2 linked regions of the Rattus norvegicus genome follow. The protein of the gene in region 2 interacts with the protein of the main gene of each other region in a biochemical or structural test. Links are inferred from orthologs where the notes say so. Each region holds a gene or a part of one and is shown on either strand. Other genes may lie near its edges.

Evidence for each region.
Region 1: the proteins of Pias2 (region 2) and Sumo3 form a complex in vitro, tested with the Homo sapiens proteins (2 studies listed by BioGRID, with this or other methods). The link is inferred for Rattus norvegicus from reciprocal best matches to the Homo sapiens genes PIAS2 and SUMO3.

The regions. Positions count from the first base shown.
Region 1 is NC_086038.1:11,002,695-11,017,658, reverse strand, and holds the end of Sumo3 (small ubiquitin-related modifier 3), read left to right. Parts: intron 1-513; coding exon 514-642; intron 643-4,685; coding exon 4,686-4,757; intron 4,758-6,433; coding exon of another isoform or gene 6,434-6,460; exon of another isoform or gene 6,461-6,654; coding exon 6,655-6,765; 3' UTR 6,766-7,925; downstream 7,926-14,964. Other genes in the region: Ube2g2 (ubiquitin-conjugating enzyme E2 G2), read left to right, coding at 12,671-12,713. UniProt on the Homo sapiens protein: Ubiquitin-like protein which can be covalently attached to target lysines either as a monomer or as a lysine-linked polymer. Does not seem to be involved in protein degradation and may function as an antagonist of ubiquitin in the degradation process.
Region 2 is NC_086036.1:72,895,964-72,911,027, reverse strand, and holds the start of Pias2 (E3 SUMO-protein ligase PIAS2), read right to left. Parts: upstream 9,322-15,064; 5' UTR 9,146-9,321; coding exon 9,122-9,145; intron 9,043-9,121; exon of another isoform or gene 8,682-9,042; coding exon of another isoform or gene 8,679-8,681; intron 1-8,678. UniProt on the Homo sapiens protein: Functions as an E3-type small ubiquitin-like modifier (SUMO) ligase, stabilizing the interaction between UBE2I and the substrate, and as a SUMO-tethering factor.

The sequences.
Region 1 (14,964 bases), on a different chromosome or scaffold from region 2:
TGAGCACACGTATTCTTTAGAGCTATACGGAGCCCAGAAGAAAGAGCAGAGTCTGAGATCAGAGGGCCTGGGGGGACCTCAGCCTTTACCACCTCCACTGGATTCACTCAGGGTCCCCTAGTGCCCTTCTGGTTCTCCACCCTTGGCTTTATGCTGGCTTTTCTTACCAGTCAAAGAGCCAAGTGTAGCCTGCAGGTATGTGTTTTTACTAGCCTCATAAGTAATTTTTTAAGCTTTGGCTGTCTAGATTTAATGAGCAGATTTTTGTCTTTGAGTTGGTAGTCTGTAAGGACTGGCTTTGCACTGCGGTTTCTACCACTGTGCTTAACGAATGTAGGTTAAAAATAAATTCTGTGTAAAAATAAGACAGTCCCACGAGCAACTCTGAGCTGCTGGGGGAATTTTGAGAATTAGGTTGTTTTTAACGAGTCAAAACAACAACCTTACCCAAGAACTTGCGCTTTAAACCCTGGTGATTCTGGCTTTCGAGACCCTTTTTTTCATGTCTTGCAGGAGGGTGTGAAGACAGAGAACGACCACATCAACCTGAAAGTGGCAGGGCAGGATGGCTCAGTGGTGCAGTTCAAGATCAAGAGGCACACTCCGCTGAGCAAGCTGATGAAGGCCTACTGTGAGAGGCAGGTACGTGCTGACCAGAGGAAGGAGTCTTGTGGGGGGTGGGGGATGGGGGCTGCTTGTGTTGCAGGCTTGCCTTTACTGCCCTGGATCTTGGTATCAGCATGAACTTATAGTGTGCCTCTCCCTGGGCTCCTACACATGGATAGGTGGATCTTGGGCTTAAGCAGACTCTAGTGGGACTTGCTACCTGGTAGACCATCATAGTGGTGGCACACTCCTATAGGGGCAGTAAATGGCTCTGCTGAGGCCCTATGGTGCACTCAGACGTGGATCAGTGCTGGTTCGAATTCCTCTTTCTGGTATCCATCCAATTATGCTCATGTATGCTGTCCTCATTGGCGATTTTATTTTATTTTTTAATGTTATTCAGGAAAGTAAGGCTACATGCAACCCCATCAATTCATTACTGTTTTACAATAGCAAGCTGACTGACCTTGTCCCCAGCAGTGAGCAGGGTTGTCTGTGACTGTGAACTCATGGCTCTTGTACACACCGTGCTTGGGTCTGTCCATCTATTCATTCTTATTAGGACCTTCTGGCAGATGGGCACATGCTAGCCCGCCTGGAAGGCCTTGGACTCCTAGTCTCAATTGCTCCTCCGATGTCTGCCTCAGTGGCTTCTTGGCTTGCTGTACATAAACCCAAGTGCCAGATCCTGTTTGAACCCTGCCAGCTGGTGGCTCTCAAAGGGGGCCCTGCCCTTCTGTGAGGGTAGCAGCATCTCCTTACGGTGGTTCAAGGTTGCCCTGAGCGCTTGCCCGCACAGCTAGGTACTGTCCTGAGGTGGTACCATGCTTTTTCCTTTCCTACCTCCTGAGCCCTGCAGATGGTGCCCTCGGCCTCCTCTCTTCTGGGTTTTGACCACAGATACTTCTCACCTGGGAAAGGTGAGACGGAGCTTGCTGGTGACACCATGTCCCCCTTGTGCCCTCCCAGCTGAGTCAGCTTCGTGTGCTGTGTGCCACCACTTGGACTGCACATGTGTAGGCCTGTTCCTTGCTCTTGTGGTTGTGTTTGCCCGGGTTTCTGCTGAGACGCTATGTTGAGGGTGCACACTAGGTCAGCTACCTCAGTGTTCTGGGGCATCCTGCTGGCCCCACCCAAGCCATTGTTTGGAGGTGAGGTTGTATGCACAGCTGCCATCCCAGAGTCTTGGGAGAGTCATTCTGGAGTCTTCTTTGTCTTCTCTTGAGTCTTTTTCTGTGTTAATAGCATCATCTCCCACATCTGACAGGGACATCTTGTCACATCTGGCTGCATGTAACAGTGTAGGCTGCGGTGAGCTATCAGGAAGGTGCCATCATTCTCTGTTAGCATCCTGTGTTTTGGGACACGGGTGACATTCTGCTTCTCTGATGTGAGATCTCAGCAGGGGCTCAGGAGAACTCCTCACTCTGGCATGGTGCTCTCTGGGCCCTTCCCATATGTAGACTTGTCTCTACCTGTCCTGCTCCTGGGTAGACAGACGTCTACCTCTGCTGCTGGGAGTGCCCAGTTCCCCTCAGTCAGCCAATCTGTGTGCTTACCTGTGACCATTTTCCTCCGTTCAAAGATTTATTTATTGCGTGTACGGTATTCTGCCTGCCTGCATGTCAAAGAGGGAATCAGATCCCATTACAGATGGTTGTGAGCCACCATGTGGTTGCTGGGAATTGAACTCAGGACCTCTGGAAGAGCAGTCAGTGCTCTAACCGCTAAGCCATCTCTCCAGCCCCCAGAAGTGCTCTGTCTGCTTCTGTTTTGTGGTTTTTTTTTTTTAACCTAGTAGCAACTTTTTTTTGTTTTCTTGGTGTGTGTGTGTGTGTGTGTGTGTGTGTGTGTGCGCGCGCGCGCGCGCGTGCACATGTGCGTGCACACACAGTTTTTAACCTTCCTAAAAGCTTTAAGTGTACATGTGTTTTAACTGCTCCATCTCCTTTTTTCTGCCTCCCAATATTGAAGAAACTCGAATTGATGTTATACAGGATTTGCTTAGGAGACATGGAGTCATACAAAGTGGAATTCAGCTAAAGGAACACTGTCTCCAAAACACCCTAAAGATAAGTGGGGTACCAACCAGGCCTGTTAGAGATAAGAGACACTTAGGAGGCTAGGATGTCAATGTTTCTTCACAAGGACTGTTAGCTCTATTCTCACATCAGAGGCAACAACCCTGACTTACAAGCAGCTATTAGACCTATCAAATGATACGCCTCCAGGAGGACCGAGCAGGGTCACAGCCAGTATTCAGTCTGGCCTGGTATAAAGTCCCCCTTACTGAGAAATGCACGCGGTTAGGTGGGCAGGATTACCCCAGGTAAGAACCATTTCAAAGAGAACAGCACTGGTGTACTTAAAATAATTCTGGCGATATGCCGTATCTTTGCTGTGTAAACTTCCCATCTGCCTGAGTGGCCAGACTTGCAGTGTCCTGTGTCTGTTTAAGTTGTTCACAGTGTGTCCTGGGCCTGGGACATGTTGCTTTCTTCTTTTCTGGTCTCTTCTCACCTATTTGAGTCTTTTCCTAAATGCCCCCCACCCCCACCCCCAGTTTCTGCTTGTATTTAAGAGTGATGGAGCGAACCCCCGTGGGAAGGAGAAGGGCTGTGTGTTTGGGTGGACATAGCAGAGGCTGCATGTCCGCAGGGTGGTTAGAACTGGGGAGGTCTGGGGGCCCAGGTGCTGCTCTGAGAGGCACTGTTTCCTAAGGAAGATTGCCTCCCAACTGTGCCCAGAATTGGGGTTCAGCTGGAAGACTGAGGAGTCTCTGAGGGTCATCAGGGATGCAGGCTTTTATTAGCCTACACTGGGACACCCACTGCTCATACCTGTCTTTTTTTCTTTTTAAAGATTTATTCATTTATTATATATAAGCACATTGTAGCTGTCTAAAGACACACCAGAAGAGGGGATCAGATCTTTACAGATGGTTGTGAGCCACCATGTGGTTGCTGGGAATTGAACTCAGGACCTCTGGAAGAGTAGTCGGGTGCCCTTAATCACTGAGCCATCTCTCCAGCCCACTCATACCTGTCTTGACAGAGCTCTCAGTCCACATCTCTAGAAAGCCCTGCTTATTGCTGTGAGAGAGAAACTTTCTTGGCCTCTGAGGATTGTGGGGGACTTTGAACCCTTGGTGATTCGTGTGAACTTTTTATTTTTATATACATGGGTGGTTTTGCTTGCATGTATGTATGCCTGTGTACTATACAAATGTCTGGTTTTCACAGAGGCCAAAAAAGGACATTACATCAGATCCCCTGAAACTGGAGTTCCAGGTGGTTGCAAGCTGCCATGTGGGGGCTGGGAAACCGTACCTGAGTCCTCTACAGAACAGCAAGTGCTCTTAACCCCCGAGCTAGTTCAGCCCTGAATGAGAACTTTCACAGAGTTGACCCAGGGGTTCCTGGTCTCACATCCCTGGGGCCCTGAGGTTTTTGGTGTGGCACACATGGGAACCCTGTGTCCTTAGGCTTGCGGCTTCAGATTCCAGCCAGCAGAGAGACCAGTCATCTCTGGGTTCCTTCATAGAGGCCGTGCCTTTCCTTCAGGAAACAGTCACAGCTGTCCCATCTGTCCTGTTTCAAGGACAGCAGGGCTGTCGAGGGAGAGGGCACTTCTGCCTGGTGTTGACCTGCTTCCTCCCGACAGGCTGAGGCCCACTGCCCTCCTTTCAGGATGGGAAATGCCTTTCTTTCCTGCCATGCTCCTCACAGCCTTCCTGATTCTGGCCCTGTGGTCACCTGACCTGTTTCTCTCTGGGAACTTTCCAGAGGAGGAAATGGTACTAAAGTACAGAAGGGAGGAACTTGGCTCAGCTTTCCTTCTGGGAGGAAGTGAGAGACAGAATTAGGACAGGCCTAGTGTTGGAATGAACTGGAAACTTCTGAGAGGGTTAGTTTGGGGCAGCATAGGCTGTAGATTGTGGGCCACTAGGGCTCTTTCTGCTCAGCTGGGTCATGTGTGCATATGCGGAATGCTCATACTATTGATGGCCCTGAATACGTATCTCCAGGTTAAACTGTGTCAGCTGGGAGTGTCTAAGGCTTTTCCTTCCTTCTCCCCAGGGCTTGTCAATGAGGCAGATTCGATTCCGGTTTGATGGACAACCAATCAACGAAACAGACACTCCAGCCCAGGTATGAAGTGTCTGTCTCCAGGTTCTGCGCCATTTTTAGTTTCTAAACGTCCATTTGGAACACTGTTATTTGAGAAATGGCTTGTTTCCACAATGATTTTTTTTAAATTTATTTATTTTTATGGGCATTGGTGTTTTGCCAGTGTGTATGTGTGAGGGTGTCAGCCAGATTTTGGAATTACAGTTGTGAGTTGCCATGTAGGTACTGGGATTTGAACCTCTAGAAGAGCAGTCAGTGCTAACTGCTGAGCCATCTCTCCAGCCCCTCGACAATGATTTTAGTTATTAGACTTCAGGTTTTGATACTTTGAGATTGAGTTTCTCAGACAAGTGGTAGTCAGACATATCTTTGTTGTTTAGAGGCAGTGTCCAAGTGTAGGACCCACACTCTCAGGCTGATTGCCCAGAAATCCATCCACTGTGTGGGCTGATAGAGGGAACACAGCTCCTGAGGTCCTGAGGGCTTAGTGCCAACCGTTTGCTCTTTATTGGAGTTTGAACTGGAGTCAGAACTTAAATATTTGTCTTACTTTAAAAAAAAAAAAGATGTATTTTTATATATATGAGTACATGGTCTCTGTCTTTAGACACACCAGAAGAGGGCATCAGATCTCATTACAGATGGCTGTGAGCCACCATGTGGTTGCTGGGATTTAAACTCAGGACCTCTGGAAGAGCAGTCAGTGCTCTAACCACTGAGCCATCTCTCCAGCACCTGTCTTACTTTAAAAATATTTAATTAAAAGTATTTTTGTGAGGGCTGGGTAGTTGGCTCAGTGGTTAAATACACTTGTTCTTGCAAAGGACCTGGGTTCAATTCCCAAAACTTACAACTGTCTTTAGCTGTAGTCCCAGGAAATCTGATGCCCTCTTGTGGCCCCTAGTCATTAGGCACACAAGTGATGCACATATGTGCACATAAAAACTAATTAAATGGGCTGGGGATTTAGCTCAGTGGTAGAGCGGTTACCTAGGAAGCGCAAGGCCCTGGGTTCGGTCCCCAGCTCCGAAAAAAAGAACCAAAAAAAAAAAAAAAAAAAAACTAATTAAACAATTTGGGGGGTGGCTAGGTGGTTATGGTACACACCTTTGATCCTAGGATTCGGGAGTTATAGGTAAGCCAATCTCTTGAGTTCGAAGCTGGCTTGAGCCACAGAGCGAGTTCTAGGATAGTCATGGCTACACAGAGAAATTATGTCTCAACTCTTTTTTTTTTTTTTTTTTTTTTTTTTGTGGGGTTGGAGAGATTAGCTTAGGGGTGAAGAGAAGCAGCTGTTCTTCCAAAGGACCTGGGTTCGATTCCCAGTACCCCCCCTGGCACCTCAACACTTCTATAACTCCAGTGTTGGGGATCCAAGAATCCTCCATGCATTTGGGGTACATAAGCTCACATAACTACATACACAGACACATAGAAACAAAAGATAAATGAATAATACTTTTTTTTTGGTGAATGTGAAATGTTTCTCTAAAAATGCTGGGTCTGGCGCGATAGCTTGCTGGGTAAGATGCTTGTCACCAAACCCAATGACTTGAGTTCATGTGAGTGTCCCCCTCATTAAAAATGTATTCAAGTGTCTTAAGATGCTGACATTGCCGTATATGAAATAGCGTAAGTGCACAAAGTGTTTTCTGTGGCTGATGAGTCTGTTTTTAATGACCCCATTTTTCTCTCAGTTCTTAGCTCTGATTATTCTTCTGTGAATCTTGTCAGAAGTCGGGTGGATAAGTAGTTACTGAGACTCCACAGTAACCCTTTTTCTCGCATGCTGCACTCCAGCCAAGGTGACTGGGCTGTGTCTAGTGTAGGGGAAGCCGTTTGGGAGCGTGGTATCATTGTGAACTGACTTCTGGATTTCCTGTCTCCTCTCCCTGGCCCGCCCTGGCACCTTCGAAAGCTGGAGATGGAGGATGAGGACACCATTGATGTATTCCAGCAGCAGACGGGAGGAACGGCCTCCCGAGCCAGCGTCCCCACACCCAGCCATTTTCCTGACATTTGCTATTGAATGGTGACCATGCAGCCACACCAATCACACAAGAGTCCGCAGAAGCCAGAGTCACCGAAAAGAGTCTCCTTTCCCGATGCGCTTGGAGTGAACTACATCCAGAATACGCTGCAGGGCGAGAGCATTACATACCCTGGTCGTTAGGAGGGTTTGGTTTGGGGGAAATGAGGCGTGGGGTTTTTGGGGTTTGTTTTGTTTTCATTTGTTTCCTCCCATTTCTAAAATTTTTTCTCCCCCAAACTTGGGTCTGGATGTACAGACTCTCACCCTGTGGCCTGAGTCTAATCCCTAGAACTATGGTTTCCTCCGGTGTGACTTGTCCTGATCAGGTAGAGAGAGCTTGTGGTCACATTACCCAGTGGGCATACCTGTGGGATGTGGGGAGGGGCAGAGAAGCAGAATTCCACCCGTTTGTTGTAGGCATAGGATATTAAAATGTGAAATACTGTAAATTTGAGCTTTGTCAAGCATATGGTGAAGTTAAGGGAAAAAGACCAGTGCTTCTTAAAAACTGTGAGGAGTCTTCCTACTGTGGCCCAGGCCGGCATATGCCCACTTGCTTCTGGCATCTGGTAATGGATACATCGGTAAGGGTGGCATAGTGAAACCCACCCCCCACCCTTTTTATAATGTCCAAGAAAGTAATTGTCCCGTCCCATTTGGAAATTGAACATGATCTCAGATTCTTCTGGTCCTTGCTAGATATATAATTATGGTTTCTGTCTAAGAAGGTAATCAGTTAAGTATCAAGTTTGCTGCAGTGTTGTGTAAGAGCCCCGCTTTCAAGTGTGGTTGCAAAAGCAAGCCCAGGAAAGGTGACCTCATTTTCCCGGATTGTGGTGTGCAGTTTTCCAAGTGTGTGTTAACGGGACGCCTCGGTGGGTGACTGCGGTTCTGCATCGTGGGGTCAGTTAAATGTCTATAGTTCCTGCCTGCCATCCTTCTGTAAGGATCCATTGCTGCTTGATGGCCATCTCTGCCTTTTATAGTCACCCGACACTGACCTACCATCTCTCGCTTGCTTAAAGTCCCGAGGAAAATGTTTCTGCCTGTTTGCTGCGTGGGCCTGGGTGGGGTGTCTGTCGGCTCTGTTGTGTTTCTTCACCGGTTTGTACCTGTTGTCCTTTACTACTGTAAACAGTAAATATAGTTTGGTATTCTGTCTCTTGGCCTATGTTAAACGCTGTATTTGGAGACTGGTCATATGTCACAGCTCACTGTTGACAGTCTGTCCAGTGAGGCCACTCAGACGGACAGACAAGGCATTGCTTAGCTTGCTTTGCAGCATGTGTGCCCTGTGCTGGTCCTGAGTCTGCACAGACTGCACAACTAGGCTCTCCTCCCCTTGGTGTGTGAAGATAAGGTGGGCTTTAGAGGCAGGGCGTAACGTGGGGTCTCTCAGTTCACGACTGCTCATCTGCTTTGGCAGGAGTTGGTGCTAATTTGGCTGTGAGGGGTTTCAGTACTTAGGTGAGACAAAACCAGGGTTCTCATGGCCCAAGCTATTTTAGCCTGTAAGTTAAGCACCAACACCAAGCACTTAATTCGTCCAGCAGGAATGTGTGGATTAAAATGGAGCACAGAGCCATTTTCTAGGTCCCTCAAAGATTAATTACTTTCTCAATATTGTCACAGAGTTAGTGGCAAGCAGCCTAGAGGAGCAAGAGTTTATTTTGGCTTATGGTTTGAGGGTACGTCCTCATGACAGGGAATACAAAGGTAACTGGAGCATTAGGCTGCTTGTTGGGGCTCTGGGGGATCAGGAAGCAGTTAATCCTGTCAGGAAAAGGTCTTAGGGTATACTCAAAGGTGAACTTCATTAACACTCTAGGCATTTTTTAATTGATTCAAGTTTCTTGTCAGCCAGACACCCAAATACATCATTGTAGAATCAATCTACTTGGCTCTTTAAAATCATGTGTTACATATTACAAAACACATTTAGTCTGTCTCTGGGTGCCCACCCTCAAAGTTCAAAGTCAGCTCTGAGACTCCAGATGATTTTTGAGCCCCTGTAAAATAAACAAGTTACTTCTAACATATAGCGCCAAGGCCTATTTCAAAAGGGAGGGACTGGAGCATAGCAAAGAAAGATTAGGCGGAAGCCAGATTAATGAAAGCCAGCAGGGCACAAACCGAAGCCTGCTGCTCCGTGTCTAGCGTCAGAGGTTCTTGACATCATTTGGGCCCCGGTAGCCGTGGGTAGTCCCATCCCACAGTTCTGTTGCCTGAGGTGTCTGTGGTCTCTGTTGGGCCAATACCTGGTGCCTGCAGCACTCCTCCATGAACATCTCACCCTTCTGGCTTCTCTAACATCTGGGGATCCCTTACTATAGAACCTCTGCCTTCTCAACTCCACACAGCTTCGTCTCAGGGCCTCTGTACAGGAAATCTGAAATCTGATATTCCCATTCATTGCCTTGTTAGTGGCTTTCTGGAATCTTGGCACAGATTTCCATCCTTTCTCCTCCCTTACAACTTGCAATTGTGGATGCTGCCACCAAATTTGGCTGTCAGTTCCAGATGAAGCCTGGCACCCTTAGGCCACAGTTGCAGCCACCTCTGTGTGCTCTCGCAGCTGGGAAAACATCTCCGTACATGCTGGGTTTTTTTACCCCCAGCAGGAAACCCTGAAGACTCTCTTCAGGCACTCTCCTTTCAGATAAATTTGCATTTTTTTCTCGGAGCTGGGGACCGAACCCAGGGCCTTGCGCTTGCTAGGCAAGCGCTCTACCACTGAGCTAAATCCCCAAGTCCAAATTTGCATTTTTATTCCCTGGAGTTCTCATTTCAATAGGTACTGTACCTAGTGTTCCAGTGCAAGGCCTCAGACAGCTCTTGACTGGCACTAAATTCCTTTAACCCCTACGGTCAGTTTGTTCCAAATCTGCCCTGCCCTTAACTTGGTCTGACCTCTACTCACCAAAGAACACTTCCCACATTTCTCTGAGCCACTTTCCACCTGTTGTCACTGTAAATCTGGATAAATGCGGCAAACGAGAACCATGCCACAGCCTGGGTGTCCGGTAGGCTGCCTTGAAAATCCACCTGCCAATCAGCTTCCTTAGCCCATTGCTTTTGAAAGTTAGCCTCATTCCATCCAGTTTTTAGGTTGCAGGGTAAACACAAAATTGTTATGGGGAGTCCACCAGAGAAAACCACTCTGATACTCTGTAGCCAATTAGAAGTCTTTATTCCAGCCAGCCGGGACCATGCTTAGGTATTTGGGATTTAAGACTAAAGAGCACTGGTCGGAAAGGGTTCTATCAGTATCAAAAATACAGTTCTAAAGTAGCAGCAAAGGTAATGTTAAAGTTGGGGGTCACCACAACACAAGGAACTGTGTTAAAGGTTCTCGGCACTAGGAAGGTTGAGAACCGCTGGTTTAGAGTGTGGAGTAAGGTGTCTTTAAAGACAAAACCCACATCCTGATAACTCAGCAGTTTGCAGGGAGAAGTTTTGTGCAAGCAAGCAATTTAAAAGCAGTCAGCTGGAGGAGGTTCTGCACAAGGTTTTACAGAAGCTAAATTACCTAGGCACCTTGACCTCAGGTGCCTAGAATAGAGTTGAGTGACTGTCCCTGGGGCTTTCCATCAAGGAGATCAGATTTTAGTTAAACCTAATATGGCCTCAGCAAGAATCCAAGATGGAGGAAACTGCATGGTGTTGCCCTGTCACGGTGTGATGTGAAATGGTTGCCAGCCGAGTTTCTGATGTGCTCCCTGTTCACCTCTGGGATAAAGCTTTGTGAGCAGTCTTGACTGCCTGCATTTCTTGGCATTCTGGTCTTCCGGATTCCCACCAGAATGGGAATGTTAGCCCTGCTCACAGCATTCCAGGGCTAGTCTAGCTCACAGCTCTGAACCTGTTTTCCACTTTTCTCCTTAAAACTAGCTCTGGCTGGGGCTAGAGAGATGACTCAGAGGTTAAGAGCACTGTCTGCTCTTCCAGAGGTTCTGAGTTCAAGTCCCAGGAACCACATGGTGGCTCACAACCATCTGTAATGGGATCCGATGCCCTCTTCTGATGTGTCTGAAGACAGTGACAGTGTGCTCATATAAAATAAATAAAAATTAAAAAAACAACAAAACAAACAACCAGCTCTGAAGAACTGTACCTCGTGGTCAGGTTTGTCACCGCAATGGCCTCAGTTCATGGCACTATTTTACTCTTGTTTTCTTGCTGCTGGGATCAATACCTGACAAGAAATAAGAAGTTAGTTTTCTCTCAGGGTTTGAGTGGACACAGTCTGTCCTGGCGGGCAGGTGGCCCCAAGGCGGCAGCAGGGTGTGACCACTGTTTCCTCACACAGCTTAACTGAAGAGGAAGGAGAGAGAAATGGAAGCCAAGCTGATCCTAATCCCAAAACTCACCCCCATCCCCAAGTAACCCACTTGCTCCAGCGAGGCCTCATCTGCCAAAGGTTCCACCGTGACCAGTGTTCATGAATATGGGCGCGTCTCACATTCAGACTGACCCAGGGGATCGGGGCTGCCACATCATTTGGATGCCTTAGAATGGCTTGTGCTTCTACAGCAGGAGGAACAGTGTGTCCTGGAGGCCGCCTTTTGTCCTGTGGGTGGGGCATGGGGAGGGTTATGCTTGTGTGATTTTCACCCTACATGTAATTGGAGTACCATCCTAATACTCTTTTAAAAAACGACAAATGAGATGAACCTAATGCCACAAGTTCCCAGCAGGAACTTTCCCTTTGTCCCAAAGTACCTAGTCCTGGGAGCCCCTTTGTTCCCAGAGCCCTGCCCAGAGCTGTATCCCTCATGTCCACTCAGGGAAAGCAGTTGTGCATCCAAGAAGATACCAAGCATCTATCTGGTCACTTCCTATGAGGAGGAAGTTCATCTTCCTAGGCACAGAGTCTGACATTTTTTGGCCAGAGAGGGTGGGATATGGCCCGGGACCTTTCCTCTGTGAAACCAAGGTACTTTCTCTTGCCAAAAGTGCCATCTTGGAGCTGGTGAGATGGCTCAGTGGTTAAGAGCACTGACTGCTCTTCCAGAGGTCCTGAGTTCAATTCCCAGCAACCACATGGTGGCTCACAACCATCTGTAATGGGATCAGATGCCCTCTTCTGGTGCGTCTGAAGACAGCTACAGTGTACTCATAAAATATATATACATATATATATGTGTATATATATATATATATATATATATATATATATATATATATATTTTTTTTTTTTAAAGGTGGGGTTGGGGATTTAGCTCAGTGGTAGAGCGCTTGCCTAGCAAGCGCAAGGCCCTGGGTTCGGTCCCCAGCTCCGGAAAAAAAAAAAAAAAAAAAAAAAAAGGTGCCATCTTCTCAAACCACCTCTATCTCAAAAGCCAGATGTAGTGGCACAAGTCTTCAATTCCACTACTTAAGAGACAAGAAGGTAGGCAGGTGGGGAATCTCTGTGAGTTCGAATCCACCCTAGGCTACATAATGAGTTTTAAGACACCCAGGGCTACATAGTGGGTGGAGTGGGGCGATAGTGGTGGCCTCAAGATTCAGGATCTATACAGCCAATCATGAGGAGCGCGCCAAGCGTAAGGAAATGTCTCATTCGGGAACAATCCATAATGGGCCATTCATTAGCTCTCGCAGGATTTTTCAAGACTAAAGAAGGTAGAGCCGCGGCGTAGGAAGGCTCCAATTCTGAGGGTGAGGCCGGCCGACAAAGTTCTAGGACCCCGAGCTCCGTCAGCCTGGGCCGTGACACCGCGAGCGCAAGACGAACCCCAGCGAGCCTCTGTCTGGCACACCCCGGCGCGCCACGTCACCCGCGCGCGTCCCGGATACACTTGCGGCTGCAGGCCACGACCCGGAAGCAGCAGCGGGCGTCGGAGCGGGCGGGCGGGACCGGCGCGGATGTGGCGAGGCTGCTGAAGGCAGGTTCCGCGGTATGGCGGGGACGGCGTTGAAGAGGCTGATGGCCGAATATAAGCGTGAGTCAGGCGGCGCCGTGATCCTGTCCTCTTCCCCGAAGCCGCCCGCGGCGTGGCCGGGCATGGCTCGGTGCGATGCGGTGCGGTGTGGTGCGGGCGTACTGGGCCGGGTCGCTGGAGCCCGGGTGCAGAGAGAAGGCTGGGCTGTCGCTGTCACCTACCCGCCACGGCCGGCTTCAGCGGGGCAGGCCCTGGGCGCAGAAGCTGGCCCGACCAGCGCCGCTATGGCCCTGCGACCCGGGCCTGGTCCCTGAGCCGGTGTGCGCATCGCCCTCCGGACAGTTGATGCTGCGGGGCGAGTGCCGGGTAATCCCTGTAAGGTGATCGTGAGGTCTAGGAGAGTTGGGGAGAAAGTTAAAAGTAAACAAAATAACAACTCGAGCCTCCGGCCACGCTGCAGGTGCGAGTTGCTGGGGCAAAGTTTCTCAGACACGGGCTCCGGACCGTTTCCTTGAAGCCGGATCTGTGTTTCTGTTTTACTTTTTCAGACCTGTTTCTAGATTGAGAAACATCATCCCCCTTTATCTAAAAAAAGAGGGAACAGTAGTTAAGCTCCGGGACAGGAGTTTAAGTTCTGACCGCTTCTGTTTAAGGGCATTCACATTAAGAGAAAATTTTATCCCCCACAAGAGTCTCAACTGTTAAGGTCAGACAAAGCTTATTGTCACTTAGTTTGAAGGGTATTGCCACCTAGTTTGAAGTTAGGTCATGAATCATCTCAGTGAGAGAGAAAGAGAAAGAATTTGGTTAAAGAGGGAACCCTAAAATAGGAAAAAGGCTCCCCTGGCGAGGAACTCGGGGTTCACAGAGGAGAGGGCTCCACTTGCTGTGGCTGCTTGGAAGAGGAAAAAAGGGCAGGGAGCTAAGGGTGGCCCCAGGCTGACAGCTAGTCTGGGACCAGTGTTAGAGCCATATGGAACTAAGTTGTGCCAGCTACTTGAATGGACTTGGGTTGCAGCTCTGAGACACCCAGCTGTCCTGGCTGGGCCCAGGCCCACTGACACATGGAAACCATGAGGTCATCAATGGATATTGTTTAAGCTTGTGGCAACAGCGACAGGAAATTCATCCAGCAGCTCTAAGCAGGAGGAGTAAGGTTTTTTTCTGTGTCCTCGTAATTCATTAAAAGTCCCACTGAGTGTTTTTCTTCTCTTATGCTGTAAAAGGTTTGTCCTCCGTATTTAAGACCGTGTACTCTAGTGTTAGGTAGATTCAATAGGAATGTCCAAGGCTGGACTAGAGCGTAGGCAGATTTGGGTAGGTGCTCTTTCTTACCTGATTGTACTGTAGGTTTAGAGGTGTAATGACCTTGGGTGTGGTTCATTTGTCTAGCTGACAAATTTTATTACTTTGCGTTTGAGTGTTTTGATGACACACAGAAAAGTGTGCCATATGTGTGCCTAGTGCCAGTGGATGTCAGAAGATGGCATCAGATCCCCTGGGACTGGAGTTACAGCTGGCCGTGAGTCTCTGTGTGGGTGCTGGACTGGAACCCAGATCTTCTGTGAGAGCAACAGTCTCTGAGTCATCTCCTCGGCCCTGCTGTTTCTCAGGCTCCCTGTTTTTACAGGCAGTTGAAATAACAGATGAGAACCGATTCGCCTGTGATCGGATCACAAAAAGAACGGAGCGAAGACCTTAGGCTGCTCCTAAGATCACTCTCTCATACAAGTTCGGGATCCCATGTGTGCAGAGGCGGATATTAGCTGTCCCAGTCTGCCACTCGCTCTCTGCCCTCTCCCCTTGACACCGGCCTGTCACTGAACCTGGAGCTCATCAGTTCAGCTTGAATGGCCAGCCAGTTAGCCCCAGACATCTTCCTGTTTTCACCCTTGCCTCCAACTCCGGGGCTCCAGGCACCCATGGTAATAAAGCCTGCCTCTTTTTCAGACGGGTGCCAGCACTCGAACTTAGTGCCTCTGCAAGAGCAGTGTGTGCTCTTGTGTTCTTGTCACACGTTCCCACAGCTTTTCTTGTGACTGTGATAGGCACAGGGGACAGTGGGCCAGGGCTGCTGTAACATCGTCACTTCCCACACAGCTTACCATAACAGAAGCTGTCTCTCGGTTTGGAGGTAGAATTAGAAACCCACTTGTGGCCTGGACTGTGACCCGTGGCAGGGTGGGCTCTTGGGGAAGGTCCTTCCTGCCTCTCATCTCCAGAGTGCTGGCACTTTGGGTTACTTAGCTGTGTTAGTGTAACGCCTACCTCTCCTGGACAGTCCTGTGGTCATCTTCGCCTGGGTGTTGTT
Region 2 (15,064 bases):
AAAGAGTAATTCTCCCCTTCTGAGCTAAACAAACAAATGAGCACATCTATTTAGAAACAGGATGACATTAACATCTATTATTTACTTTATCAAAGTAATTGAGGGTTAGTGAGGCCTCACAGTAGAATCAATAAGTCTCTTTACATAAAGGATACAAATTGAGTATTGCAAACAAAACTTTCATGTCACCTACAAGTCCTGAAAAAATTATCCCTAATAAAACATAAATGCTATATAAAGAGTTGTCATGTGGGGTTGGGGATTTAGCTCAGTGGTAGAGCACTTGCCTAGGAAGCGCAAGGCCCTGGGTTCGATCCCCAGCTCCGAAAAAAAGAACCAAAAAAAAAAAAAAAAAAAGAGTTGTCATACTACACTGTTCAGGCAAACAAAAACCAATAGGGCACTGGAGAGAAGACTTAACAATTGAGAACACTGAGAGACCCCAGTTTGATTCCTAGCATCCCACATGGTGGCTCACAACCCCTCTAACTCCAGTCCTAGGGGATTTAACTCTTCTGACCTCCTCAAGCACTATACCCACAAGTGGTACACAGACAAAACACCCATACACATAAAATAAATAGACTTTAAAAAAGGAAGTTTACTGCAAACAACACATCCTGTTATACCTGCAAGCAGCCTCATCAACAGTTTTTCTATTACTTCATTTTCTTTTATGCTTGATTTAATTGAATTGTTATTTTGTCCATGGCCTTAGGAGCAACAGACTATTGCATATAGCATATGTAAATACTTGACATACAGCCCAACTATATAACTATGTATTAGACTATCCCACCTAAATTTATGTAAATACATTCTATAAAGCCAAATGTGGTCACACACACCTATAAGATCAGGAGCTCAGAAGTATCTTCAGCTACAGTGTCCAAGCTACATGTGACTGTACCAGGAAGGGAGGGAGGGAGGGAGGGAGGGAGGGAGGGAGGGAGGGAGGGAGGGAAGGGATCTGAAGAGATGCTTCAATGATTAAAAGCACTGTCTGCTGTTCCAAAAGACATAGGTCCAATTCCCAGACCCTACATGGTGGCTTACAACTACCTGTAACTTGGGCTGGAGAGATGGCTCAGCGGTTAAGAGCCCCGACTGCTCTTCCAGAGGTCCTGAGTTCAATTCCCAGCAACCACATGGTGGCTCACAACCATCTGTAAAGAGATCTGGTGCCCTCTTCTGGTGTGTCTGAAGACAGCTACAGTGTACTTATATATAATAAATGAATAAATCTTTAAAAAGAAAAAAACAAACTACCTGTAACTCTAGTTCCAAAGGCTCTGATGCCATCTTCTAGTGTCTGTGAGTTCAGATATACATGCAGGTAAAACACACAAACACATAAATAAAACAGAACAATATTTTAAGAAAGAAAGAAAGATAAACAGATATAGCCCAAACAACAACACCCTATGATAACTGCACAAAACTGAAATTACCTGTCAATATACTTATCAGAAAGTGACTGATGTTAGGTGATACTTGAGTATAATTCCATATCTGAGGGGAAAGGAAAGAAAAGAAGCCAAAAGTGGCAGACCATGCCTGTAATCTCAATACTCAGGAATTAGAGGCAAGAGGACCAGAGAGTTTAAGACCAGCCTGTGCTACTACACGAGACAGTGCATTAAAGAAATAAATAAAAGTTAACCATAGAAGATTATGCATCAATTCCATTCCTAAATATGGACTCAAGAGAACTGAAAGCCTATGTCCAAATAAAACTTATGCTCATGTAGTTAACACTGGTACTAGCCATTAAGTAAAAATAACTCAATGCCAAACAATACATTCACACAACGGAACAAGAAGAAACAGATTACTGGTATTTGCTACAACACAAATGAATCCAGAGGACATTATGCTAAATGAAAATGAGCCAGACATAAAAGGCCAGTAGTGTTGTATGATTCCATTGATAAGAAATGCTCAGGGTTGGGGATTTAGCTCAGAGGTAGAGCGCTTGCCTAGCAAGCACAAGGCTGGGTTCAGCCCCCAGCACCGAAAAAAAAAAAAAAGAAAGAAAGAAATGCTCATGACAGGCAAACCCACAGACAGAGTAGGTGCTATGGCCTGAGGAACTACTGCATATGACTTTTTTTGGAATAATAAAACTGTCCCTGAATTAGACAGTGATGACACTAATGTGACTTTGTGAATAGTCTAAAAGAGCACCATATTCGATACTTTCAGTGGCTTAATTTTACAGTATTTAAATTATCTCAATTTAAAACTAACTAAAAAAGCAAACATCAAACCAGGCATATTGGCATACACCATTAATTCCAGCACTCAAAAGGCAGAGGCAGTGAATTTCTGTAGTTCCAGGACAGCTAAGACTGTTACACTAAGAAACTGTATTTTGGAAAACCAAAGGGGGGGGGGGGGATAGAGACAGAGACATCAAACCCACGGAAACAAAAGCAAAAATGTTGAGGAATATGTTCAGATGATATGTCGGGAATCTGCCATTTCATCATCAGAAAAGTTAATTCATGTTTACTGGAGGGAACATACAGACCTACAAAGCAAACAAACACAAAAGTACCTACTACTACCCAGAATATCATGGTTCATTGACAACTGGAAATTGTCGTTTTATAAAAATTTCATTTTAAATTAACATATCACTTTGGCATGCCTTCATAGACAATTTAAACAAAGTATTATTAGGAGGCTGTTTTTCCTAATAGCACTGAAAACACCATGGATTCTGTCATACAGCACGTACATTAGTGTTTCCCCTGTGTAGTGGTTTGGTGGAGGGAGATGAGGACTTAGAACTTCGACATCTCATTAGCCTCTCATTCTTCCTCTATCCTAATAGTACCTAAGATTTCAAAAGTCCAGACCAGGCCCACGTATCTTCCTGTTGACTGTGGCTCAGGATATAAAGCTTTAATGGTTCTCAACCTGGGGCTCGAAAGACCTTTACATAGGGATACCTTAGACCATCAGAAAAACTGAGATATTTAAGATTCTAACAATAGCAAAAGTAGTAATAAAGTAGCACTGAAATCGGGCTGGAGAGATGGCTCAGTGGTTAAGAGCACTGACTGCTCCTCCAGAGGTCCTGAGTTCAATTCCCACAACCACATGGTGGCTCACAACCATCTGTAATGGGATCCAATGCCCTCTTCTGGTGTGTCTGAAGACAGCAACAGTGTACTCACATACAATAAATAAATAAATCATTAAAAAAAAAGAAAGAAAATAGTCTTATGGCTGGGGGTCACCACAACATGAAGAACTGTATAAAGGGTCACAACACTACTTGCAAAGGTTGAGAACCACCACCTTAGCTACTGCTCTAACCTATGCCTGTTTGCTTCCCATAGCCATGAAGATGAGATAACCGTCTCAAACTACAAGCATGCTCCCAAATTAAAAGTTTTCTTCTATAAGTGTTGCCTTGATCATTGTGGTTCTTCAGAGCAATAAAACAGAAGCTAAAACAATCTTGTAGCAAGTTAATTCACATCTAACAAGTTAAGCATCTAGGAAACCAAATTATTTCCCTGGAAAGCTTCTTATACAAACCATACTATTATAATCACCTTTGACTACACAGGCCACCTTCTTTCTTAAAGAATTCCCCCCTTCTGGGGTTGGGGATTTAGCTCAATGGTAGAGCGCTTGCCTAGCAAGCGCAAGGCCCTGGGTTAGGTCCCCAGCTCCGAAAAAAAAAAAGAAAAAAAAAAAAAAAAAAAAGAATTCCCCCCTTCCTTTCCTTCAACCCATTAGAATGGCTTCCAAAATCAAATTTGTACCATGATTCCAATACCCTAGAAATGGACAGTCAAGTGGATTCTGACCAAAGCTCCAGACGCATCATATTCTTTTACAAGAATGAAGAAAGCAAGACTAGTAATCTAGTAGTCACTTGGGACCTAAAGGTAAAACACAGAGCAGCCATAGTATGTGGCCAGTGTCTCTCTGTGAGTTGCTCACATAGTCTTGAAGAAAAAAAAAAAATCTTATTGAGCAACACCTTAAGGTTCTACAGGTGCTTTTTTGTCTCAGGGTTTCCAGTGCTGTGAAGAGACACTACAGCCAAGGCAACTCTTATAAAGGACATTGGGGCTGGCTTACAGGTTCAGAGGTTCAGTCCTTATCATCACAGTGGAAAGCACCGAGAAAGAAGCGTCCAGGCAGACATGGTGCTAGAGGAGCCAAGAGTTCCACAGCTTGATCTGAAAGTAGCCAGAAGGAGACTATATTCCATACTGGGTGGAGCCTAAGCCTAGGAAACCTCAATGTCCACACCCACAGTGACACACTTCCTCCAACAAGACCACACCTACTCCAACAGTGCCAGACCTAATAGTGCCATTCCGTATGGGCCAAGCATTCAAATACATGAATCTATTCAAATCACCACATTCCACTCCTATCCCCCATAGGCTTGTACCCACATAATGCAAAATACATTTAGTCCAACTTTGAAAGTCCCCATAGTCTATCAGTCTCAAACAGGTTTAAGAGTTCAAAGTCTCTTCAGAGATTTATGCAATCGCTTAACTGTAACCCCTATAAAGTAAAAATAAAAAAACAGATCCCATACTTCCAATGTATCATGGCACAGGATATACATTACTGTTCCAGGACAAATACTTAAGGGAAGCAAGACTGAAACCAGCTGGACAAACTCCATCTGCATCTCCATGTCTGATGTCAACACATTCTTCAGATCTTCATCTCCTTTCAGCTTTGTTGACTACAACACACTTCTTTCTCTCGTGCTGGTTCCACTGCCTGTTAGCAGTTTCCTTGACAGGTATCCCACAATTCTGGCATCTCCAACATCTGAAGGTCTCAAAAGGTAATCCAGGCTTCACTTTCACAGCTTCACACAATGGCTTCTCTGGGCCTCCATGAAGGGGCACTCCTGCCACACACGTGGCCTCAGCAACTTTCCTTGGTTGCAGAAGGATGTTTCTTAACTCTAAAGCCAGAACCACGTGGCCAAAGCTACCAAATTCGGTTGCTTGGTGGGCCTGGAACATGGGCTCCCTTGTTCAATTACAGACTGAACAACTTTCTGTTTTCCCCGGTTTCCTTCAATGCCTAAGCTTGGCTGTTCTAGAACTTGCTCTGTAGACCAGGCTGGCCTTGAACTCAGAAATCTGAATGCCTGTCTCTTAAGTGCTAGGATTAAAAATGTGTACCACCACACTTGGGCCTAAACTTTTCTTTAATTCCTTTCCATTATAGAATTTAATAAGCATCGCCACTATGCCTCAAGATCTGAATTAAAAGCTTGTGTCATTCTGCCTCATGATCCTCATCAAAACCCTGGGTCTTCCAAGTTCAAGATTAGATATGCCCTTGATATCTAGACTGTAGTTCATTCCAGATAGTCAAATTGACAACTGAAAATAGCCAACACAATCCACCTGACAACATATAATCGTATCTTCTTATATACAGATGAAAATAACCAAGTCATAATAGTGTTTAACATGATATAACTATCCCTCACACAACTGCAAACATTTGTAAATTTATAATAGGTGGAAATGTCCCTTGGGAAACATTCTTTTCACAAGACGGAAGCTTAGCTGGATGGAATTTTGCCTGAGGTCACCATTCCCTTAATTTCAACTAATATCATTAATGTGTTATCTCCTTGAACACAAAATTTAGTTCCATTCCATTTCCTGATGCCCTTTTAATCCTTGAACCATACATTTTGTATTTTTCTTTCTCAGCTTGCTATGTCTGATCAAAAGGCTCTTCTTAAGAGGCTCTTCTTAAGGATATGTGCCACAGACCTGGGCTTGGTGGCACATATCTTTAACCCCAGCACTCAGGAGGCAGAGGCAGGCAGATCTCTTTGAGTTTAAGACCAGCCTAGTCTACAAAGCAAGTCCAGGAGAGGACAGCCAGGGCTGGTTACACTGAGGGAAGAAAAAAAAAAAAAAAAACCAGAAAATAGAGGGTGGGCGAGGGGGAAGGGCGATGAAGGGGAGAGAACAACAGTACAAAGTTTGTACTAGGCTGTTTTGAGATTTTCCTTTACCAATGAAATTAATCTAAATCTCTTCTCCTTAGCCTCAGGCAGACTTCAGACAAGGGCAAAAAGCAGCCACATTCTTCACCAAAATAGCACAAAAACAATCTTTAGGCAACATACCAAAATTCTTCCCTGAAACCTCATGAGCCAGGCCCCCGTGTTCGAATCGCCCCGGCACAAATGTCTTCCATGGATCTATTTGTATGACCTATTAAGTCCCACTTAGAGCATCCCACACTTTTCTTAATCCAAGATTTCAAAACCCACATTTCTCCAAACAAAAAATGATCAGGCCTATCACAGCAATACCCCAGTCCCTGGTACCAACTTGTCTTCTTAGTTAGGGTTCCACTGATGAATGAGACACCATGACAAAGACAACTCTTACAAAGTAAAACATTTAATTGGGACTGGCTTGCAGTCTCAGAAATATAGTCCATCATCATCATGGTGGGAAGCATGGCAGCATCCAGGCAGACATGGTGCTGGAGGAGCCAACATCATCTTGATCTGAAGACAGCCAAGAGGAGCCTGTGTTCCATACTGGGTGGAACCTGAGCATAGAAGACCTCAGAGCTTGCCCCAACAATGACACACTTCCTCCAACAAGGTCACATCTACTCCAACAAAGTCACACCTCCTAAACTCCCTATAGGCCAAGCACTCAAATACATGAATCTTATGGAGGCCATACCTATTCAAACCACCACGCTTATCAAATGACACCTCCCTTCCCCACCCCACCAAGCCTAAAAAGTGAAAGAACATAACTAAACCGCAATGAGGGGATGATCTTTCTCCAAAAGATCCCTCTAGAGCAGACAGCACCAGGGACATGCTGACTACTCAACAGACTGATCCTCAACAGCTTAAATTATAGTATCCGAGAATTCGTCTACCATTTCTTCCACTGCCAAGATAACCAAAAATCTAATGTCCATAATTTCTGATTCTATATTGAATTAACTGTCACTGGGATCATCTGAATATAATCTGTACCAGAAACCATCATTCTGAGTGTCCAGGATATTTCTTCCCCTTCTCTTTCTTTCTGATTATAGTTTTTTGGCATTGGTTTGGATTGTTTGTTTTCTGTGGGGTTTTGTTTTTTGGGTTTTTTTGGAGGAGGGTCCACTGTTCTATTTTTCTTCCACTTTTATGATACAAAAAGATAGTATTTATCATTTAATTTAGTCTATAAATAGAGTAATTAGGAATCCCACCTAGTCCCAAAGGCACTTGAACAATGAAATCTAACATGGATTCAAGAACTCAAGACTCTGAAATCAAGTAACTAGTGTTTAAAATTTTAAGATTTCCTCTCTCAAACTATAATCTAGATGAAAGTTTGTCTATGTTCATTTTCTTTACAGAATTAGGAGACTAGCAATGTATATGTGAAGTATCTGAAGCAGAGTTTGGCATGTAATAAGGTGATATTAAAATGAGTATATGTCATCATCACTTCCTGTACTCAGACTGGGATAAAGTTCTTTAAATTTAAACTAACATGAGTCTGCCCTAAGCAAAACATAGTGGGTAATTCTCCCAGCATCTACTCAGCCTGCCTGCCTGCCTGCCTGCCTGCCTGCCTGCCTTCCCTCCCTCCCTCTGGAAACTCTGAGGTCAAGTCTCTGTTGGTCACTTAACTATGAATGGGGAAGCCAACAACATTACCTTTTACCAAGCACAAAGAGATGCAAAACCCAGATGATTTAGGGATGAGAAAATGAGGCTGAGCCACAAATCAAAACAGAGAAAGCAGAAAGGTCCTTTTGAGGTCCTGGTTTCACTCCAATCTGAGTACTGATGTCCTTTCCCACCCTATGTGGTTAAGATTAATTCTTCTCTTTAACCAGCAACGTTTCTAAAAGTCTAATACAAGCCCTACAAAGGTTTTCACCAACCAAATTAAAAAAAAAAAGCTACCTTCCTTGGGAGAGGAAATATACATCTGTTACTGTGCAAAAGTTAAGGTAATACTGCATGTAAAAATACCTCCAGTGTTCAGTTTACTGAAGTGAGGCTCAGGCCTGATTGTTTCAAGAGCTCCAATAAACACTTAAGACCGATATAGTGCAAATATCCTTTTCAGTCATGGTTCTCTGTATAAACTGATAAGGGATACAACATGCATCGGTATAATTTTTATTGGGAAAAATCATCTTTTCCTGAAACAGGAGGGAAAATGGTAGGCCCTAAGCGAGCTTTCACATTCACTCTTTTGTTGGTGTCCAGCCAGCCAACATCCTTTTCCCACAAACAATAATGGTCTTTAGAAAGCAGAACAGATTAAAGTAACCCAAACGCCAAACATGGCTGGGTTACCTCAACTGGTTGCAAGTTCATTTAACTTCAAATCCATACTTTGTCTCCACTTTAAAACACACACACACACACACACACACACGGTTTCTATCTGTAAACATCCCACATATGTCGTCAGTAATTCGGCCTTCAATGCAGCTCACTATACCTGGTTTAGTTTGGGATATGGTTTCTGTGAGATGATCTGTCTAGCCTCTACGTTAGACCCCGACTACAAAGGTACCAACAATAAAGTTACGAGCTTGTTCTCATGCTAAGAAACAGTTTCTCCTCGAGAGCACAAACTACATACGTGACAACACGGACTTTGAAGATTTCTTACCATGGTTACAAACCAAGTCCCTGGGTCTAAGGCGGACTACGGAAGGCGGTGTTCCCAAAAGACCGCGCTTCTCCCCACGCTGAGGGAGAAAGCGCTGGTGGGAAGAAGGGGCCTCATCTCGTGACAGACCTGCCTAGACCACAGCGGGGACAGGAAAATTCCTAAACACAACTTCGCGTTTCCGAAGGCGGTCGGTCTTTCACACAGTGCTCCGGGGTCGCCACCGCTGAGGCGAACGCCGCTGCACGCGCCCGGCCGAGTCCAGCCCGCCAGGTGTGCGGCCCGCCGCCCGGGCCATCCGCCCGCCCTCGCCCGCGCTGTCCCTCCTCGCGCAGCGCCCGACGACACGGCTCCGCCAACCGGCCGCACGCCCCGGCGGCGCCGCGCTGCTCCCGCCTCCCCTCCCCCCGCCCTGCGGCCTCCGCTCCCCCCGCGACGCTCACCCTCAACTCCTCGAAATCCGCCATTTTATCCCGCCCGCGGGCGCCTCAGCCGTCACCGCTCCTCCGCCCGCTACCGCCAACGACACCGCCGCCGTCTCCTGCAACATCCTGCACTGGGCGCCGCTCTAGACGCCGCGGCCGCCGCCGCCGCCGCGCCACCACCTCCACCACCTCCACCGGGCCCCTCACGTGACCTGAGCGGGAGCCCCGCCCCCGGCGCGCACAGGCCCCGCCCTTCGCGGCGCCCCCAGCCCACCGCGCGCGGTCTTCCGCCCGAGCGCCCCCCACGCGCTTCCGGTGGTGGCCTGTCCCTGCTGAGCCCAGTCCTGCTCGTCGCTTCCTGCCCCTGCTCCCTGTTCCCTGCACCGGAGCGCAGGCTGCTACTGAGGCTCTTACCGGAACTGTGGCGTTCTCCCCGGACTTGGAGGACGGCCTTGGCTGAGGAAGTGGCCAAGAGAAGAGAGTTGACAGGACTCACGGAAATCTCACTGTGCTCTACCCAAGGTGGCTGAGAACAGAGGAAGCAGCCTCAGGGCCATCCCCAGAGTAGCTGTGGTTGGATAATACAAGTATGGGTGATGGGGAAACCGTTGTTCCAGGCTAATGGTGATCGCGGTTACGAATTTTTTTTAATGTGTTTTTGTTGAGATAGGGAGTCTCTATGTAACCCAAGCTAGCTTGGAACTCTTTTGTGGACCAATTTTGAATCCGAGAGATTCACCTGCCTCTTGAGTCTTTTGAGTGCCGGGATTAAAGTGTGTGCCACCACGCCCAGTTGGATAAGACCTTTTAGTTTATGTCTTAACTTTTCACCTCGCCTGATATTTTTCCTGACCTTGAACGGACTACCAATGGCCTGGACAGCAAAGTTGAAATGATTGTGGGTGAGATTAGGAGAAAAGTGAAGTAAGAGCACCCCAGAGAACCCTGATGAAATTGGAAAGTCAGGAAATTCTGATAGCTGCAGAAAAAAATGAGATGAGAGACAGAAGGAGGATTGCTGATATTCCCAGACTCGGTTAAAAAAATGAAAAGAGGGGTTGGGGATTTAGCTCAGCGGTAGAGCGCTTGCCTAGCGAGCGCAAGGCCCTGGGTTCGGTCCCCAGCTCCGGAAAAAAAAAAAAAATGAAAAGAAGAAATAAGCCGGATACTTGAACTTGGGGGGTTGAAGCAGGAGGATCAGGTTGTTATGAGCCAGGTGGAGGCCACCCTGGAGTACAGTGTGAGAATGAAACAAAAAACAAACGTGACAGACAATGCAGAGTCAAACTGACTGGGCACACACAGTTCAGATTTCATTGATAAGACTGATGGAACCCCTGTTTAATATTGCTCTTACCTAAGGTCTTTTTTCCAGTTACAGTCATTCTGAGAACATTGCACTTGTATGAGTTTTAAAGTGTTGGATCCATGGGCAAAGAATTCCTACTCTATATATCTGTCGGTTCTAACTAGCTCACGAGGATCTTCCAACATACTAATCAAATGCCTTGATAAGGTTAGGCCATAGTTCAGTAGTAAGCTCTGAGCTAGACTCTGTTAGTCCCTGGCCTCCATCCCTTCCCCCCACACCACCCCCCAAAACACCTAAGCGCTAGAATGCCTCTCATTAAACTTTTACCCAAGAGCTAACTGAAGTAAGGTATACATGTGTAATAAGTAATTGAACTTTAATGAGTGGGATGTGGACAGTTGACTCAAATTAAGTTTAAAAACAAAACGCCGAGTCTTAGTCACTGTGCCACTTCTTAGTCACAGTGATTGGTATTGCTGTGAAGAGAAACACTTTGGCCAAGACAACTATTATAAGAGAAAGCATTTAATTGGGATCTTGCTTACAACTTCAACAGTTTTGGTCCAATTATGGTGGGGAGCAAAGCAGTATGCAGTCAGGTGCTGAAGCAGTAGCTAAGAGCTACAACCTGATCCAGATTGAGAAACCTGGGTGTGGGCTTTTGAAATCTGGAAGCCTAATCTCACCAACACACTTCCTCTGAGAAGGCTACACTTCCTAATCCTTCTAATCCTTTCAAATAGTGTCACTTCTAGACACTAAGCATTCAAATATAAAAGCATATGGGAGTTATTCAAACCATCATATTCTTTTCACTGACCTTCATAGTCCCCATAGTCTATCACAGCCTCAAAAAAAAAAGTTCAAAGTATCTTCTGAGAATCAAGGTATCTCTTATTGAAAACCCCTGTAAGATCAAAATCAGATCTCCTACTTCCAATACACAATGGTACAGGATAGGTATCACCATTCCAAAAGGGAGGAAAGAGCATAGTGAGGAAATACTGGACCAAAGCAAAACCAAAACCCAGCAAACTCCAAATTCTGCATCTCCATGTCCTATGTAAAGTGTTCTTCAGCTCTCCGGCTCCTTTCAGCCTTGTTGACTATAACACGTCTTCCTCTCAGGCTGATTCCCACCCTGTTAGCTCTCCTTGGCAGATATCCACTACTCTGGCATCTGCAGTTATTTTGGGGCCTCCAACACAATCCAGGCTTCACTTTCAGGGCTTCACACAATGGCCTCTCTGGGTCTCCATGCAGGGACACTCGTGCCACACACCTGGCCTCAGCAACTTTCCTTAGCCTCGGATGGAGAGGCCATAGCCTTGGAGGGAGAGTCCACAAGCCCCTTCTTGCATCCTTGGCTCTAAAGCCATAACCACATCGCAGAAACTGCCAGGTTCTTCTGATTGCTGGAGCTTGGTCCCCTCCGTCAATTACATTTTCACCAGCTCTCTGTCGTTGACGGTTTCCTTTACTACTTAAGTTTTTCTCTAATTCTTTCCCACACGTTGGAAGGTTAGCTGGGTGAGGTCTTGCTCCAAGGTTACAACTCGCTTTATTTCATTTGGCATCAAGCTTTTTTTTTTTTTTTTTTTTTTTTTTTTAACTGTTTATCTCCTTCAGCACAGGATTAGCTCCATAACACTTCCTGGTGCTCCTTTTCCTCCCAAACTACACCTGGATGTCTCTGTCCAGCTTGCCCCTTTTCATCATTGTAGATCTGCATAAGAATAGTTACTAAAGCCACGGGACACAGTCAGTACTATGCTGTCTTAAAATCTTTTCTGCCAAAGCCATTAATCCAAAACTCAATTTAGCAGCAGGCAGAGTTTTAGGACAAGGGCAAAAACAGCCGCATTTTTTGGTCAAAATACATCAAGAATGATCTCTAGGCCACTTGCTAATATTCTTTCCCTCCGAAACCTCTCGAGGTGGGCCGGTCATGATCTACATTGCTCTCAGAACCACTGTCTTCCATGTTCCTTCTAGGATGGCCCATTAAGCCCCGTAAAGTCCCAAAGTCCACACTCGACCAACAAGCAGCATGCCCTGGCCTGTTACAGTAATGCTTCAGTCCTGGTACCAACTTCTGTCTTAGTCAGTGGGATATTGCTGTGGAGACGCCATGGCCCAGACAGTTATAAGAGAAAGCATTTGAGTGGGGCCTTGCTTTCACCTTGGGAAGTTTGGTCCGTGAGCAAAGCAGGGAGCAGGGTGGCACGCAGGCAGTGCTGGAGCAATAGCTGAGAGCTACATCCTGATCATAGGCTGAGAGACTAAGGACTTGAAACCTCAGAACCCACCCCCAGTGACACACTTCTTCCAACAAAGCCATACCTCCTAATCCTCTGGAATGGTGCAACTCCCTGCCTCCTCTTACTCAGCGCTGGGATTAAAGACGTGCCGTCACTGCCTGGCAGAGTATTGGTTCTTAATAAGGGATAAGTCATCTTCCTATTTATCTTTCCTATGCCTCTTTTTACATACCTTGGATGCGTTCACTTGTAGATTTCCTCCTTTTCTCTGATTTATCAGTATGATAAAATGGATAGATTTACAGCCTGTGGGCATAGTGGTCTGCAGTATCCCCACCCCTGAGGATGAAGCTAGAGGACAGTTTTAGGGAGAGATGAAATGGACCCCACAGTCCTCAGGTACTTGACATTTGCTTCCAGTTGCCAGTACTGTTTGAGTAAGGAGTTAGGAGGTTTGGCCTTACTGGAAGAAGTATGTCATGGAGCTTGTATAGGGGTGTGGTTTTTAGCTTTCAAAAGACATATAGCATCCTAGTTTGCTTTCTGTTTCCTGTCTGTGGTTTGAGGTATGGGCCCTCAGCTCTCAGCGCCAGCTGCTACAATTCCCAGCTGCGATGGTGATGGACTCTTATCCCTCTAGCGCCATGAGTTAAATCTATCCTTCTGTAAGTTACTTTGGTCATGACGTTTTATCACAGCAATAGAAAAGTGACTTAGACAGATCGTAAGTACCAAGCCATCCCGACATGCCTAGTAAGAAGACCCGGCTTCAAGCAGACAAATAAAAAAAAAATGGAGATTATAAGTTTAAAAACCTAGATTCTAGGGGTTGGGGATTTAGCTCAGTGGTAGAGCGCTTGCCTAGCAAGTGTAAGGCCCTGGGTTCTGTCCCCAGCTCCGGAAAAAAAAAAAAAAAAAAAAAAACCAAACCTAGATTCTAGACCAAGATAGAATTTTGGCATAGGTTCGGTAACATAATAGGATAACAGTAAATCTGCTTTTATGCAAAAATGAGAAGCCAATGAGTGAAGTGATAACACACAAAACAAGAAACAGGTAGTTTTGAAGGGATAATAGGGAATGACTAAATGACTCAACGGGCTAGGGCGTTGGCCAGCAAACCTGACCACCTGCATTCCATCTCCAGGACTGATGAGCCTTGAGCACCATCCATTGTGGAAAGGGTTGGGATATTGCAGGTCTAAAGTCTAACATCCTGTGCCTATCAGGTGGTGCCTTTTGGAATGTGTTACCTCAGCAGACCATTGGGTTGCACCAACTCACAGCCTAATAGTGTCATCAGATGTTATCTAAGGTCACAACAGAGATTCCTCTGCTTGGCTGTAGTTTGTCGACCTGACGTTTCCCCAGGCAAAATATTCATTCATGTATGTATGTGTATGTATACACACACATATATATCTAGATACACACACACATATACATATATATACATATACATATATATATATACATATATATATAATCTCACATTGAGGCTTACCCCTCTAGCATAGCTGTAGCCATTTTGTTCCATGCCTGCCAGCTATTTCATATTGTTGACAGAAAAAAATAACTTGACTCAGAGCAGGGCCATGATGACCACATACCCTTATGTTCTGTATGTTCTGAGGTTTGTTAATCTTAAGAAACCCACAACCATAATCTCCACCTAGGACCAATCAGAATTTGGGCTCCGACCTGAATAAATACAGCCCTCACCTACAGAACTCATTGATACACAAGCACATAAAGCAATATACAGAAGAATATGCGCTTCATTGCTGCTGATAACAATGACAATAAACCCATGAATCCAGTGAATGGTCAGCTAGAATGCAGTAGATTCCTGAAAAGAACGCAATTTATAAAACAAAAAAACGAATAGGTCAGAACCATATAGAAGAGTGGACACATCTCAGAAACATTGCTAACCTGGGCTGGGTATAATGGTGGTTCTCTAATTCCAGGACATGAAAGGCTAAGGCAACAGGATCACTGCAAATTCCAAGCCAGCCTGGTGCAAATGTGGTTTCCAGGCCAACTGGAGCAACATAGTGAGACCTTGTCTCAAAGGAAGGAAAGAAGGGAGGGAGGAAGGAAGGAAGGGAGGGAGGGACGGAGGGAGGGAGGAAGGAAGTTGTAAGAGTTGCCAACTATGGGTTGGGGATTTAGCTCAGTGGTAGAGCGCTTGCCTAGCAAGCGCAAGGCCCTGGGTTCGGTCCCCAGCTCCGAAAAAAAAAAAAAAAGAGTTGCCAACTATCCATGCAAAATTAAAAACAATGCAAATTCTGTACATCCATGGCCATATACATTTGTGGTAGAATTTCAGCAGCAGCATACATTATGAAAGATAATTATCAAAAGTGGAGAAGTGAGTAACTGAGG